2 linked regions of the Oryza sativa Japonica Group genome follow. The protein of the gene in region 2 interacts with the protein of the main gene of each other region in a pairwise test. Links are inferred from orthologs where the notes say so. Each region holds a gene or a part of one and is shown on either strand. Other genes may lie near its edges.

Evidence for each region.
Region 1: the proteins of probable esterase D14L (region 2) and endoglucanase 13 precursor interact in binary tests that used the Arabidopsis thaliana proteins (3 or more experiments, as listed by UniProt). The link is inferred for Oryza sativa Japonica Group from reciprocal best matches to the Arabidopsis thaliana genes KAI2 and GH9C1.

What each region holds. Positions count from the first base shown.
Region 1 is NC_089038.1:34,969,724-34,977,128, forward strand, and holds endoglucanase 13 precursor, read right to left. Parts: upstream 4,704-7,405; 5' UTR 4,472-4,703; coding exon 4,235-4,471; intron 3,977-4,234; coding exon 3,764-3,976; intron 3,676-3,763; coding exon 3,475-3,675; intron 2,792-3,474; coding exon 2,407-2,791; intron 1,954-2,406; coding exon 1,411-1,953; intron 1,329-1,410; coding exon 1,030-1,328; 3' UTR 722-1,029; downstream 1-721.
Region 2 is NC_089037.1:18,909,037-18,916,454, reverse strand, and holds the start of probable esterase D14L, read left to right. Parts: upstream 1-2,698; 5' UTR 2,699-2,850; coding exon 2,851-3,221; intron 3,222-7,219; coding exon 7,220-7,418.

The sequences.
Region 1 (7,405 bases), on a different chromosome or scaffold from region 2:
CTCTCCCTCTGGTGACCAGTCAAAAAAAAACTGAAACTGTTCATCTCCTTAAATATCTTCTAGAAGCGAAAGAAATTGCAAAGAAAAACACTGTCGTTGGCAGCTGAATTCCATCTTGAACCAGTTAAACACAAAACTGAAAAAAAAAACATTATATCGAAAAGACAACCAGTGTGGAATAATCTGTCATATTCCACCCAAAGCAATGCAGAGAGTCATTGGCAAACTGCAGATTTTCTTTTTGATGAAAAGACAAGGTACAGATTTGTTTGACTAATTACAACAATTTATTCTCTATTCTTGTAGAAGATAAAGAGCTTTGCAAGAAAATAAGAATTAGAAAAGGAAGTCGTTGGCAGTTGAATTTCATCTCAAACTAGCACCCTGTTTAGATGGGACTAAAACTTAAAACTTAATCTCTATCACATCGAATGTTTGGACACTAATTATATATATTAAACGTAGACTATTAATAAAACCCATCCATAATTCTGAACTAATTTGCGAGACGAATCTATTGAGCCTAATTAATCCATAATTAGGATGCTACAGTAAACATTCTCTAATTATAGATTAATTATGCTTAAAAAATTTATCTCGTAAATTAGCTTTCATTTATGTAATTAGTTTTGGAAGTAGTATATATTTAATACTCTAAATTAGTATCTAAATATAAGTACTAAAGTTAAGTCACTGGATCCAAACACCACCTAAGCACAATAGCAAAAACATCATGTCACAGTTTTCTGCTTAATTTGAACATATAAAACACACAGGCGTGCACAGCGGAAAGAATGGAGAAATCACGAAAGCTAAAAGAAAAGCTGAGAGATCTCCTATGCCATTCCAAGTACAGAAGAAACAGTGCATGTCCACATCTCAAAGCAGTCGTGGTCAGAGGTGACATCACAGACTCGTTGCTTCGAGATTGCACACCACCTGTTTGCTGAAAAGCAGCAGCCAACCACACACCAAAACTAAAATGGAAAAAAGGAAAGGCAGAAATCAGTCGTCGTCGTCGTGCCATTCTCAGGCCGTCTTGTACTCGACGACGGCGATCTTGGCGGCGGGGCCGCCCTGGATGTAGACGATGGTGAGCTGCGCGCCGGCGTCGAGCCGTGTCATCCACGACGGGAACTCGTACATGTCCTTGGCGTTCGTGCGGGAGACGCCGTAGATCTCCCCGGAGAGCTCCTTGATCTGCAGCTTCAGGTAGGTGATGGCGTGGCCGCACGTGTTCTTCGCCGTCACCACGTGCCGGTAGTAGTCCACGCCGTTTGCCTTCCACGTGTTCGTCACCGTGTGCACGAACTCCAACGGCGACCCACCTGACAAAGAAACGCACGATCACTTGGAGGAGATCTCAATGGTACAAGTTCGATTGCATTGTTGATTTGGTTAATTAATTACCATTTGATGGCGAGGGGGCATTTGGCGCCGGCGTGTACTCCGGCGTGTTATCGGCGGGCGAGGCGGCGAGGCGGGCGAAGACGCCGGACATGGGGGCGTTGCCGGCGAGGGTGGGCTCGGCGTGCTGGTAGTTGCAGCGGTCGTCGTCGTAGGCGTCGTTGGCGTCGGGGCCGCCGACGAGGGCGCCGTGGAGGACGTTGGGGTCGGCGTTCTTGCTGTTGTAGTACTTGTCGAAGCTTTCCATGCACCCGACGGTGGCGTTCATGGCGTAGATGGACGGGATGGACGCGCCGCGGTGGTGGACGTGCGTCGGGTAGTAGCTGCCGTATCCGACCATGTAGCTCATCCCCTTGGGGTTCTTGCCGAGGACGTAGTCGACCTGCGACCTCGCGAACCGGAGGATCTCCGCCGGCTTCACCTCGCCGTCCGGGCACCTGAGCGTTCCCCGCGACTCGGCGAGGTAGTCGGCGTAGACGGTGAGGAGGAACGCCGACGAGCTCACGTACTGCATGTTGCTCCAGTCGCTCACGTACATGAGACCACCTGGATAACCAATCCAATCCACACAATTCAGAACAATCACATTGCAAAATCTATTACCAATTCTTCGAGGAAGTGGATTTTTGTCCCTCGGGAGGACATCCCCTCGTTTTATACATCTCACTCAAAATTTTATCAATTTTTTTTTAAAAAAAAATTGTCAAGATAGATTAATATATGACATCTTTCGTAAACATGCGAGTTAAAATTCAACTTATACAATTCAAAACAAAAATAACAAATTTAACCTTAAATTACACGTTCTATTCATTGTCAAATTTATTATTTTTGTTTTTATTTGTATTAATTGAATTTGAATTTGTATATTTATTAAGAGTGATCTATCCTACTAATTTTTTTTATGATCATGCAAAAATGAGGAGATGTTTTCTTAAGGATGATTTGAGTTTTCCATCCTTGGAAGAAGAAGAAGCTAGCAAGGATGGGATGGATTACCAGGGGTCATCTTGACGTTGTGGCCGTTGTTCTTCTGGAGGCAGGCGCAGAGGAAGAACTCGGCCTTGGCCTGATACTGCTTCAGCGTGTCGGCGTAGCCGGCGGCGCTGCCGCCCTGCTCGAAGAGGACCTTGGAGAGGAGGACCTGGAGGCCGGCGTACTTGTTGTCCCAGGAGAACTCGGTGACGGCCCAGCCGGTGCCGCCGAACGCCTCCGCGTTCTGGGACACGTAGCGGAGGTACTGCTCGTCGCCGGTCGCCTCGTACAGCCACGCCGCCGCCCACAGCAGCTCGTCCTGGTAGCCGGACGCCGACGGGTAGAACTTCTTGGCGCTCTGCAGCGAGTCGTCGTACTTGCCCCTGAACGTGTCCGCGAACGTGAACAGCTGCCCCCCCAAAAAAAAGAGAAAATAACTCATCAGAATGTTGCTGCTGCATTTGCTGATTGCTCTCATACGCTGGCTGCGTTCGACAGCCCCTCCTCCCGTCCCGCAAAACAAAGCTTATATTATTATAAAATTAATTAACTATTAATTATTTTTTTAAAAAAAATGGATTAATATGATTTTTTAAAATAACTTTAATATATATTTTTTTAAGATTAAATTGCACTTTGGTCCCTCTTTTATTTCCCAAGTTTCAATTTGGACCACCCTTAAAGCTATCTTTTTAATTTAGACTGGGTAAATTTACCACTGTTACGGTTTGTACTATCATAAACAACTTTTCTCATCATGTATAACTTCCCTTTCGGCAAACATATGAACCATATATAGAGGAGTTCGGCCGCATACTAGAGTTGATGTGTTTAAGCTCGTTGGTTGTACTGAAAAAAAATCGTTCGTGGTAATCCAAATTACAACAATAGTAAATTTATTCGGTCCAAAGTAAAAATATATGTTTAAAGGTGGTCTAAAGTGAAACTTAGGTAATAAGATGTGGCCCAAAACGTAATTCACTTTTTTTTTATAAATCATACCGTTTAATAGTTTGAAAAGCATGCGTGCGAAAAACGAGGAAGGTGGGTTGGAAAAATGGACGAAGATCACAGCCACATGTGTCTCTGTACCTGCTTGGAGTGGAGGAGGAGGAGGTCGGAGTACATGCGGTCGTAGGGCTTGAAGGCCTTGGCGGCGGCGGCGAGAGCGGCGGCGGTCTCGCCGGCGACCTCCGACCCGGGGTTGTTGATGTCGATCTTGAACGCCGTGCGCGGCGTCGACATGTCCTCGGCGCGCTCCCAGCACAGGTGGTCGCTGTCGCCGTCACCCACCTAATCAAAGAATCCAGAAAATTTTTCTTGAGGGCACTAGTGGGCCGTGTTGGGCTCTTGGTGAGATGGGCCTTGAGTGCGTGCGTACCTGGACCCAGAGGGCGTTGTGCTGGGTGTGGGCCTTGACGAAGTAGTTGGTGCCCCAGCGGATGGCGTCGAGGACGCGGTGGAGCTTGTTGCCGTCGACCATCTCCTTCTCGAACTCGACCACCCCCCACGACAGCATCGTCACCGCGTACGCCATCGGGAGCCCGAACTTCACGTGGTCGCCGGAGTCGTAGTACCCGCCCACCAAATCCACCTGCAAATTCATCCATCCTTCGATTCAATTCGCGCCGCATTACTCAACCCGATCGAGCATTTACCCGGCCTTGCCTTTTACATCCAACTGGATATACACGGCCATTGCAATAGAGAACTTTGTCCCGTGGACAACACAATCTAAAATTTACTTCTATAAAGATTTAAACTCAGGACTTTAAAGTACTACTCTAACGACTGTAACCACTATCGAGCATTTGGTTGATTGAACCGGAGGCGGCGGAGATGTATGTATTACCCCCTGGGAGAAGCCGTCGGTGAGGGCGGAGTCGCCGCGCCACCGGACGAGGCGGTCGTCGGGGAGCTTGCCGGAGCGCTGCGCCTCGAAGAACAGGAGGCACTTGTCGAACGCGCCGGCGTAGTCGAACGCCGACGCCTCCACCGACGCGGCCGCCGCGAGGAGGAGAACCAGCGACGCCGCCGCCGGTATCAGCAGGAAGGTGGTTGCCGGCGTCTTGTTCATCGTCGCCGCCATTGCTCGACCTCGGTAGTGGAATACTGGATTGAGGGAGAGGCCCGCACGGCGGAGGAGTTTTATAAGGTCGCCATGATCGACGACGTGGAGGACGGTGGCGCGCGGCCGTGGCATCGTGGGCGCACGCGATGTGCCTCGCACGTAGCGAGGAGGAGAGATACGACGACGACGACGACGAGGTGAGCTTTTGGCGGGGTTTGAGCCATGCACGTCGTGGAGCCGAAACTGCAGAAATGGTTGCAACTCAAGCGTGTAATAGTTTAATTGGTAATATAATAATAGTTGAAGATTAGTTTTTTTTTTAAGGTAATGGAGTTGAAGATTGGATGCTTGTAGTTTTAAGGGAAGATTAGAAAAAAAATGAAAGGCTGGGTGCCTGGGTCTGATGATCATTGTCTTTTTTTTTTTTTGAGAATTTGATGATCATTGTGTCAACTACCAATTGTGTCGGCTTGGATCGACATGAAGTCCACTCCAGTTACACTGCGTGATCTTGTGTTGCAAATGATTTTCCAATCAATTTTATCACGTTTGTGCCATTGATCTGGATATTTGTGGAAGGTCAACCCAGATATTATGCATATATATTCAAGGTGAGCTGAGCCAAACATCTCTGTACCTTCCTGCTGTTCAAGAGCTTTCACAGCACCATCTGCACTCGATCTCCAGTGCATCAGAACCGAAGTACCTTCCTTGCTCTCCTGTGAATCCTGCTGTATGAGTTTCGGTTTCCTTTATCTCCTGAGACAGGCAGAACTCCGTGCATGTTCTTAGGAAAATGTGTCATTTTCAAAAAAGAAAAAGAAAAATGTTGTGTCCTATAGCCAACTGTTGGCTTGAAATCATCTATAATCAACTTAATAGCCAACTCATACAATAGTTACCTATAAATATATACTACATAATTAATATTTGGTCTCATCTATCATACACACATACACCTTGAAGTCTGTGCTGCAACTGGTTATAAATCTGTAGCCCCGCTGTCATTCTCTCTCTTTTTTTATTTTTTCGAAATGTGTTTATAGCTGGCTTATAGCCTGCTATTGCACCTGCTCTAAGCAGACCAAATGCACAACTGCACACTGGTTTTATTCAGTGTAACTGCACATCGACTCCGCCATGGCACGGCATCGATCTACCATGCCGGCCAGGCCGATTTACTGAATTCATCAGCAGCCAAGAATAAAATTATCGATCACTTCTTTTGGTTGTTGCCACCAGGAGTGATCAGCCGACGACTAGATGTGCCAGCTTTCAGCTCTCGAGCGAAGTGGCAATGGTGTCGGAGCTACGCGGCTCTGGATTTCCGGCGAAGGAGACGGCGCGGCTGACGTAGAGCCGCACCACCCTGGCCGCGAGATTCGAATCCAACGGTGTATGTACGACTACGAGCCATCAGGATAGCGATCTACGGACAGTTTCCACTCGGCCGCGGTGATCCTGAGTTCCTGACCGCTTGATTCGGATCCGACGGTTTCCGTACAGGCCCGTACGGTCGCTAACGATGCGCAGCGTCGCAGCGATCCATGTCGAGCAAGGACTCTAAAGAAAATACTAACAACAAACTGAGGGCTCTTTTGCAAAAGTCACCCTGTGCTTACGCGATCGCAGCCATGAGGTTTTGATCCAACGGTGTCAGTTAATGCCACTCCTCCTCTCTCTTCTTCTTCTTCCCCCGGCGATCTCTCCGTCCCAGCCGCCGCGGCGTCGCTCCGGCAGGCGCATCCGCCGGAATGGGACGGCCTCGTCGTTATCTCCGGTAAACTCGCCTCTCAGAGCCTCCGATCCCCTCACCTCCTCCGCAGCGGGGCCGTCCCAACACGCTCATCGGCCGGAATGGTGAGGCCTCATCGTCGTCGTCTCCGATAAACTCGCCACCCAACACCGCCCTCGCCTCCGCTCTCACCGTCATCAACTGCGGCCCGGCGCCCCAGATCCAGCATGCGCGTCCTCAGAACGACGAAGCGTTGTCGTTTCCTCCAGTCAATCCAACTCGCCTGCTCACCTCTGTCGCAGTGTAATCCTTGTAACGTATGCATCTTTCACTGGTCATGGACTACACCCCCTCCCACCAAAAAAAAAAAAAAAACTTCAAACTATATATTTAGATATAGACTATGTTCAAATACAGAATTAGAAGTTACTCTCTCCATCACATAATATAAGGCGTCCACATATTTTAAGATTCCACCTTCAAAACATTTTGACCATCATTTAGTACAATATAAATTGAATTTTACTTGCTAAAAATTATATCATTGGATTAATATTTGAATTTATTTTCATATGGTTATAATTTTGTTACTACAACCTTATTATATATATGAGAAATTATAAAACAAAGATTAGTTTTGGAGACTAATATAGGATAGAGGGAGTAGTTTCTTGAAGAAAAGAATGGAGGAAGTAGTTGTTAGTCAGATGGCGTCAATTTGAGCCTTGTGTTTAGTGGTCCTGCATATGATTGAGCAAACATACTTCAAGGTGGTGGTTTTCTTTTTGATAAAGTTTAAGAAGATGGTGGGTGATGTGTTCTTTGATAAAGAAGTTTAAGAAGATGTTCTTCTTAACGAAAACAAAGTCTACTTGGGAGCAAAAAAAAGATGATAATGCTATTGAGTATTGGCAACTCTTTCAAACTAGACAAAGATGGTGATTCTATTGACGATGCTTCCAAACTACAATGATTCCATTGCAACTTGAACAACCGGAAATTTAATTAGTTGTTGAGTGATTTTACTCTTTAGCAGGTACAGTGAGGTATCCTTTTTTTATTAAGAAACTTGGTATACCTCTTCTCTTAATACCTCGGCTATTAAGAGATACCAAAATCTACATTAAAAAATTGATCTCTCTAGGTATCCACAATACCTCGGCTATTAAGAGAAACCAAAATAAAAAAAAAATGATCTCTCTAGGTATCCACAAAGA
Region 2 (7,418 bases):
TGGATTGCTATACATTATGCTATTTGGTTTTGGGTCAAAAACACATTTTCTTTCTTCCTTTTCAGTCTCGGGCTAGCCCGCTACCTCCCTCTGCTTAGCTTGCTTCTCTTTAAGCTAGCCCACAAGTAGAACTATAGGCCTAGCTCGTATAGTCGACTTCCATCATCAACCTCCAAAATACAGTCCCGTGTAGTACGATGCCAGAACCGATCCTCCCATCAAATCCGGTTAAATCTTTCTCGATGTCTCACAATCGGAAGACAATCCCGTGTAGTACGATGCCAAAACCGATTCTCCCATCAAATCTGGTCAAATCTTTCTCGATCTCTCAAAATTGGTTGAGGGCTTTTGTTCACTCAATCTCCTCTTTTCATTTTTATCAAAATTAGAGCAAATCTATAAAACTGTGGGATATAAACGGTGACTTCTAAATAGAGATTGATGATGGAGTAGTGGAGAATTGATTTTTACAATAAATTGGAGGAGGAAAAGCATGAGGAGGATGATCGATGTGGCGGTGGTACTAGGGTTCGGCCCTACAACAGAAAAAACCGAGTAGATAAAAAAAAGAATTCTAACCATGTGCGCACACCCTTCCGTGTGCAAAAAAATACGAATAAAAAATAGGGATAAAAAATGAATATAAAAGGGAAAAATGCGATGGCAAAATAACCGGAAAGAACGGAAAAAAAGAAGGATGGAAAAAGACGGACAAAAAAGCAGATGGAAAAAAAGAAAAGCAGAAAAAAAAGGAAAAAGGAGGATAAAAGAGGACAGATACCAATCGGTTTTTCCACATGACTCTTTTTATTTTTTTTACAGTCGTCGATTTTTTTTTTACGGTCCGCTTTTTTGTTTTTACCTAGCATTTTTGCCTATTTTTTCCGTTCCGGTATGAATCAGACTTATTTCACTGTTTTTCTTTCGCATTTTTATGGGCGTTTTCTTTTTTCGTGTGATTTTTTCACCCTTTTTTAAATTACGGATTTTGAGGATTAGAGATTGAAACCAAAACAAGAAATTAAAACTGACTCAAACACGGATGACTAATCAAAGTACGGGTAAAAACATCTTCAATTTTTATAATAGTAGATATAGAGATCTTACAAAAGTACCAACAAAAATATTTTCAATTTTTATAATAATAGAGATAGAGATAGAAATATACATATAGATATAGGAGTTTATTTGTCCTTGAGATGTTTTTTAGACACTGAAAGCGGATACGCTTGTAGCTGTTTGGTGTAAATATATTGGAATTATCAAGGGCCTGGGCCTGAATGCAAAGCGACATAGGCCTGGATAAAAGCGAACCTGGACATCTCAACAATATAGGAAAGGAATACGGACACTACGTAGGGTAGTAAAGGAATCTAACGAAAATACGTACGCACCTGCGGAAAAAATCGTGCGCGAGGGTGAAAAAAAATCGGACAAGCGACGTATGAAATCCCTAGGCAAAAACATTTTAAATTTTTATAATAGGTAAAGATATATTATAATAAAAAAACAAGGTGAAAGATATTTTTAAAGACCATGTCAGTGTTTAAAATGTCAAGAATTATGAAATCGAAGGGAGTATCAAAGTAGGATATTTTTTATAACATCATCCTCTTAATCATAGCTTCGTTTGTTTCAATGATAAAGAAGATATACTCTCATTTTTCAAGCACACGCTTACTAAACGGCTAAACAGCATGTGCATTTTTAAAAATAAGTTATAACAAAGTTGCTTTAAAAACATATTAATCTATTTTTAAGTTTAAATAATTAATACTCAATTAATTATGCTCTAATATCTCGCCTCATGTTACGTATCTTCTTAATCTTTCTTTCCTCTTCTCTCAAATACACCGTAAAGCCGGAGCGGTGTCCAGTATCCCGAACCCTCTGGCCGTCCACTGTTCCTCGCCGGTGCACTGGCTGACGTCGCCATCTCCTCCCCCGACATCGCAGCATCGCTCTCCACTCCGGCCGCTCCTCGGTTTCGTCCGAAATATATATTCCAAGAAATGATTGTAAAAGTAAAATCTAGCCTACGTATTGCAAGATTTGATGCAATAGTTAATACTCCACAAACTAACAATAAATCTCAGTTTGTTCTGAAAACACAAATTAACTTATGAAAGTTCACCACAGAATTTCTTCCATAAAAATTTATTTATGGTAAAAGGCATACTAGTAATTGCCATACCCCTCTGTTCTAATTAGAACCGGCACTAATCAAATCCAAATTCTGACCTTAAAAAATTATAAATACTTTATATTATATTATCGCAGTAGGTTGTAGAGTCATAAGTACAACAATAAAACTTTAATTCATTATATAATTTAAACGTAATTTGTGGTCACAGTGTCAATTATTCGATGGGTGGGAATATTTATTTAACATTTGATAAACAAATAAATTAATTAATAAATACTCTCATGGGTTAAGCTTGCAGTTGGATATACGATTTCAATATACTCGTGGAGGGCACATGCGGTAGATATTACGGACTCGCGACCCTCATTAATAACAGAGAGAAATATGGTTACTTAAAAGTTCAGCCCCACCCTCATCGAGGAGCTAGTATGGACCCACCGTTTAGCGACAGGCGAGGGTGGAACCCCGCGTGGCGAGAGCGTTGCGGTTGGCAGATTCCGGTCCACACCAACGCCCCCCGCCCTTAAAACCCCCACCACCCGATTTCCCACTAGCCAAGGCAGCCAGCCGCCCGGCCTCCCGCCGCCTCTGCTGTCTCAGTCCCGAGTCGCGAGTCGCAACGCCACCACGAGGAGCCGAGGAGGAGGAGGAGGAGGAAGAAGAGGTGTTGTCCGGGCGTGAGGAGGATCGGAGGAAGGGAAGCTATGGGGATCGTGGAGGAGGCGCACAACCTGCGGGTGGTGGGGGAGGGGAAGCGCGGGGTGATCGTGCTGGCGCACGGGTTCGGGACGGACCAGTCGGTGTGGAAGCACCTGGTGCCGCACCTGGTGGCCGACTACCGCGTGGTGCTCTTCGACACCATGGGGGCGGGGCCGACCAACCCGGACTACTTCGACTTCTCCCGCTACGCCACCCTCGAGGGCTACGCGCTCGACCTCCTCGCCATCCTCCAGGAGCTCCGCGTCGCCTCCTGCATCTACGTCGGCCACTCCGTCTCCGCCGTCATCGGCGCCATCGCCTCCATCTCCCGCCCCGACCTCTTCTCCAAGCTCGTCCTCCTCTCCGCCTCGCCTCGGTACTATTCTATTCTACTACTGCGTCTTCACCAAGCAGCATACGAGTATCTCATACTACTCTTTATTACTCTCCCTTATATGGATTGGGGAATAAATAGGAGTATTGGACTTTAATTTAATTTTGGTGGTGATGAATTCGGCTAAAAACAGCTCCCCGAATGGGTACTAGTACCGAGGTACGTCACGAGGAAATTTTTTGTCGATTTTGGGGGCAGATGGCGGCTTTTGTCTTCATAGAGGAATCAGCTGTCGATTTGCGGGGCTTGTCGTCATGGGGGAAATTGGAGACTCGCAGGGGGAATTGGTTGGACGCTTGGACTAGGATTCCTTATGTAGATGCCTCTCCATCAGCATGGGGCTTATGGCTCGTTTAATTCACTGCAGCCAGGGTGAGAATAGGGGATCTTGCTTCAAAGGGGTGCCTGATTTCTACTGACAAATTAACAACTTTCGTGCTACTGGTAATCTAGGCATCTCCAATTGGTACTTACCCTTGATTTAACTATGGACGGGTGGGGCGTTGGCTGTATAGAACCTCCAAATCTCAAATTAGATAGCTGTATTGTCAAGACAGACAACTTGCAAGGTGTACTGCTGTATGTGATTAGCTACTCCTACTCTACATAATTGAATTCTTTTGCCTCTAGTTTGAGATTGATCTTCTCCGTTATCACTAAAATATACTGAGCTGAAATAATATCAAGATTGAGCTTCACTCAAGAGAAGATAACAAGATTGGCAATACATTCTTGATTGGGTTTTAGAATCAGCTGATTAGAGGAATCAGTTCTAGGCAGGTAATGTACATGCCAGAATGTTTTGCAGCCATTTGTTGCCAAAACAAGACAAGGACTAACACTCTTCAACACTCCAAGGTGTAAAAGAACTGAGAGCTTGCAATTTTTTTTTTTGATAAAGGAAGCTTTTTACTAATCTCAGATGATTACATCAAGTTGATAGAACCATACTAAGAAAACTTCTGGCCTTTGCATAACTAGGATGCACACAGCCAAAACACACACGAGCCCACAAAAGACCTTGTAACAAGAGAAGGAAAGCAGTAAAATTTAGGGAGCACCAATCTTCAGGCTAGACCAAGCTTACAAAGTTAAATTGAAAAGAAAAACACTAGAAACTTGCCAGAAGCTGGATTCGTGGATGATTCCACGATTTGAGTGGAAAATAAGTTTCTGTTCTCATCAAATTTAACCTATTTGATATTTTGAGCAGCAGTTATTGTAACATATTAGTCGGGCCTCACCCATGGGTGATGTGTTTTGGGATTTGTTGATCCCTCCTTTGTAAATATTTATTTCTTCTTACTGAAATGAAGCGCAGTTCTCCTGCGTTTTTGAAAAAAAATAGTAACATACTACTCCCTCCGTCCCAAAATAAGTGTAGTTTTGCACTATTCACGTTCAACGTTTGACCGTTCGTCTTATTTGAAATTTTTTTATGATTAGTATTTTTATTACTATTAGATGATAAAACATGAATAGTACTTTATGTGTGACTAAATATTTTCAAATTTTTCACAAATTTTTCAAATATAAGACAGACGGTCAAACGTTGGGCACGGATATCCACGGCTGCACTTATTTTGGGACGGAGGTAGTACAAAAATACAATACTCCCTCTGTCCCAAAATATAACAACTTTTAGCCCTCAAGATTTGTCCCAAAATATAACAACTTTTCCACCAACATTCTCTTCCTAACCTATCACAACCCTCCACCATTCACTTCTACCTACTTTCTTAATAACCGTGTCCAACTCTAAAACTTCTTATATTTGGGGACGAAGGGAGTATGTTTGAGATAGACTCCTAGTGGATTCTGGTACCATGTAATTAGTACTACTAAATTCCATTCCCTTAGGTGTTTATGCAGATTGAAAACATTAATTCAAGCACGACCACAAATAGTAGAGAGCATCTGGATAGTACCAACCACATATTATCATGCTAATGCCAACAGCCCACTCAACAGCTATGCGATAAAGGGGAAAAAAAGAAAAACAAAAAGCAACAGCTATGCGATAAAGGTGCTGAAACATGGTAGTGCCCTTCGATGTATATATTTGGTGAGATTTGCTATGCTATAGCTTTGCACATTTCTTCGCTTATTATGGTGCAAGTGTCATGTCCCAATTGGTCCTATCTTTCAAACCAAAAGGGGAAAATGACCCTATCTTTCCATTTCTGGATATTTCCTTGCTGGAAACCAACACTGTTCCAAAAGCCATGCCTTGCTGGAGGCCATAACTGAGTTGCTTAAAGTGCAGCGTCGTTATTTGTCACTACCAATATAGCTGCTTTGCATCTTAGTCGGAGCTTCAAAATTCGCCACAGGCTAGGACAATTCTTGTTGTAGTTGTTGGATATATGGTCTTTCCTAGTGTACATGTTATAGGCAGCAGTAAAATGGGGTGGTGTAGTTGAGAAGAGTGCTAAGGGAACTAGGGACTTTGTTTTTATCTCCCTAACAGAAACTGAATCATATTGAACAGTTGGTTTGAAAGTTCATGTATGCTGCCATCATCATTTGCCTGTATCAGCATGGCATGTGTGACTAACGCAGGGAAATATTGTCAAGAGGAATTTTATGTGCTGAACAGTTTTAGCATCTGGAATCATTGTATTGTAATGAAACGAATGAAGAGTGCTTAGGTATGCCCAAGCTTGTTTACGGTTATGACTGAAGTAAATTAGCTTATGCCTAGCACTCTAGCAACAATTTTGGCCACTAATTAACAGAAAGGTAAACATAAAAAAAAAATCTCACAAATATAAGCTCCATATTGGAGAACTGTATAACATAATTGGAGAATGCTCTTAAAACTCTCGATATTGGAGAATTCTCTCATTATGAAATTATATATGAGATTGTATACATAATTCTCATTTTTTTTCGTCATTTCATACCAGTCTAATAAAAAATGTCAAAAACATAGTTGAGGAAAGGTCACTGGGTAGCCTGCTTTTAGTTGGTTGCTTCTGTATGCTCAATGAATCATGTCAGTATTTGAATTTGTATGTGGTGCTGCAACGGATATAAATTCTTTTATAGTTTTAATGACTATCACATAGAAGCAAGTAAATTGAGTAAAAAAACAAAACTTAATGGCCTACGTGGATCATGACACTCTAATCTGGTCAAAATATGAAGCCATCACCCTTTGCCATTAGATTCCATTAATCTCAGACGAGTATAGGATATGTCTTATTCTCAATTTAGGTTTTGCAGCCTACATAGCATTTTACTGTACATTCATTATACAATCTTGAATCTGCTCGCCTAATATCACCAATTCCCTATGCAAGTTTTTCATTAAATGGGTAAGAAATGTGCCTATGTCTTCTTAGGTTTAAATGTTCTAGCGGACGTTTTAACATTAACAGAGCTCTGTGTTAGAAGTTCTCGGGTATAAATTAGATCAGTAAGTACGGGCATCACATGTTATAACTTATAAGTCTAGTGATTATTTTTTATGAAGTCATTTCTTTGTAAATGTACGGGCATCACATCTCACTCTTATTTGTATACATATTATCTGCGGAACTACATTAGATATCAGTGATATTGTGTCATTTGCATCGCTGACGGTGATACTGTTCTGCAGTTCGACTGTCATGCTTTGTTTTCCATTACCAAAGAAATTATAACTTGCACCTGTTGGTCCCTAACTGTTTAGTGAAGTTTGTTTTAGAATCTTGAAAATATGAATCAGGTGCGCAGGCTCTTCATTACTCAAATAAGTCTACTCTTCGTAATGCTTATTTTAATTTCCGCTTGGGCAAATGAGATTGTAGCTTGTCTGGGTAACTGTTGTATTGGTTGATATTCATGCAATAAAATGTGTTTACACTTCACAGTTCCTCCATTAAGTGATGGTATTCCGTTCTGTGTTCCTTCTCTTCTTTTTTTCCTTTTCTGGTCCCGTTCATTCTCTAGTTGAATTACTCTTTCATTGATCCAGTTTTCTCTTGATCAAACAGGTACCTCAATGATGTCGACTACTATGGAGGATTTGAGCAGGAGGATCTTGATGAGCTCTTTGAAGCCATGGGGTCAAACTACAAGGCCTGGTGTTCAGGCTTTGCGCCACTGTGCGTAGGAGGGGACATGGAATCAGTGGCAGTTCAGGAGTTTAGCCGCACACTCTTCAACATACGTCCAGACATAGCCCTGAGTGTC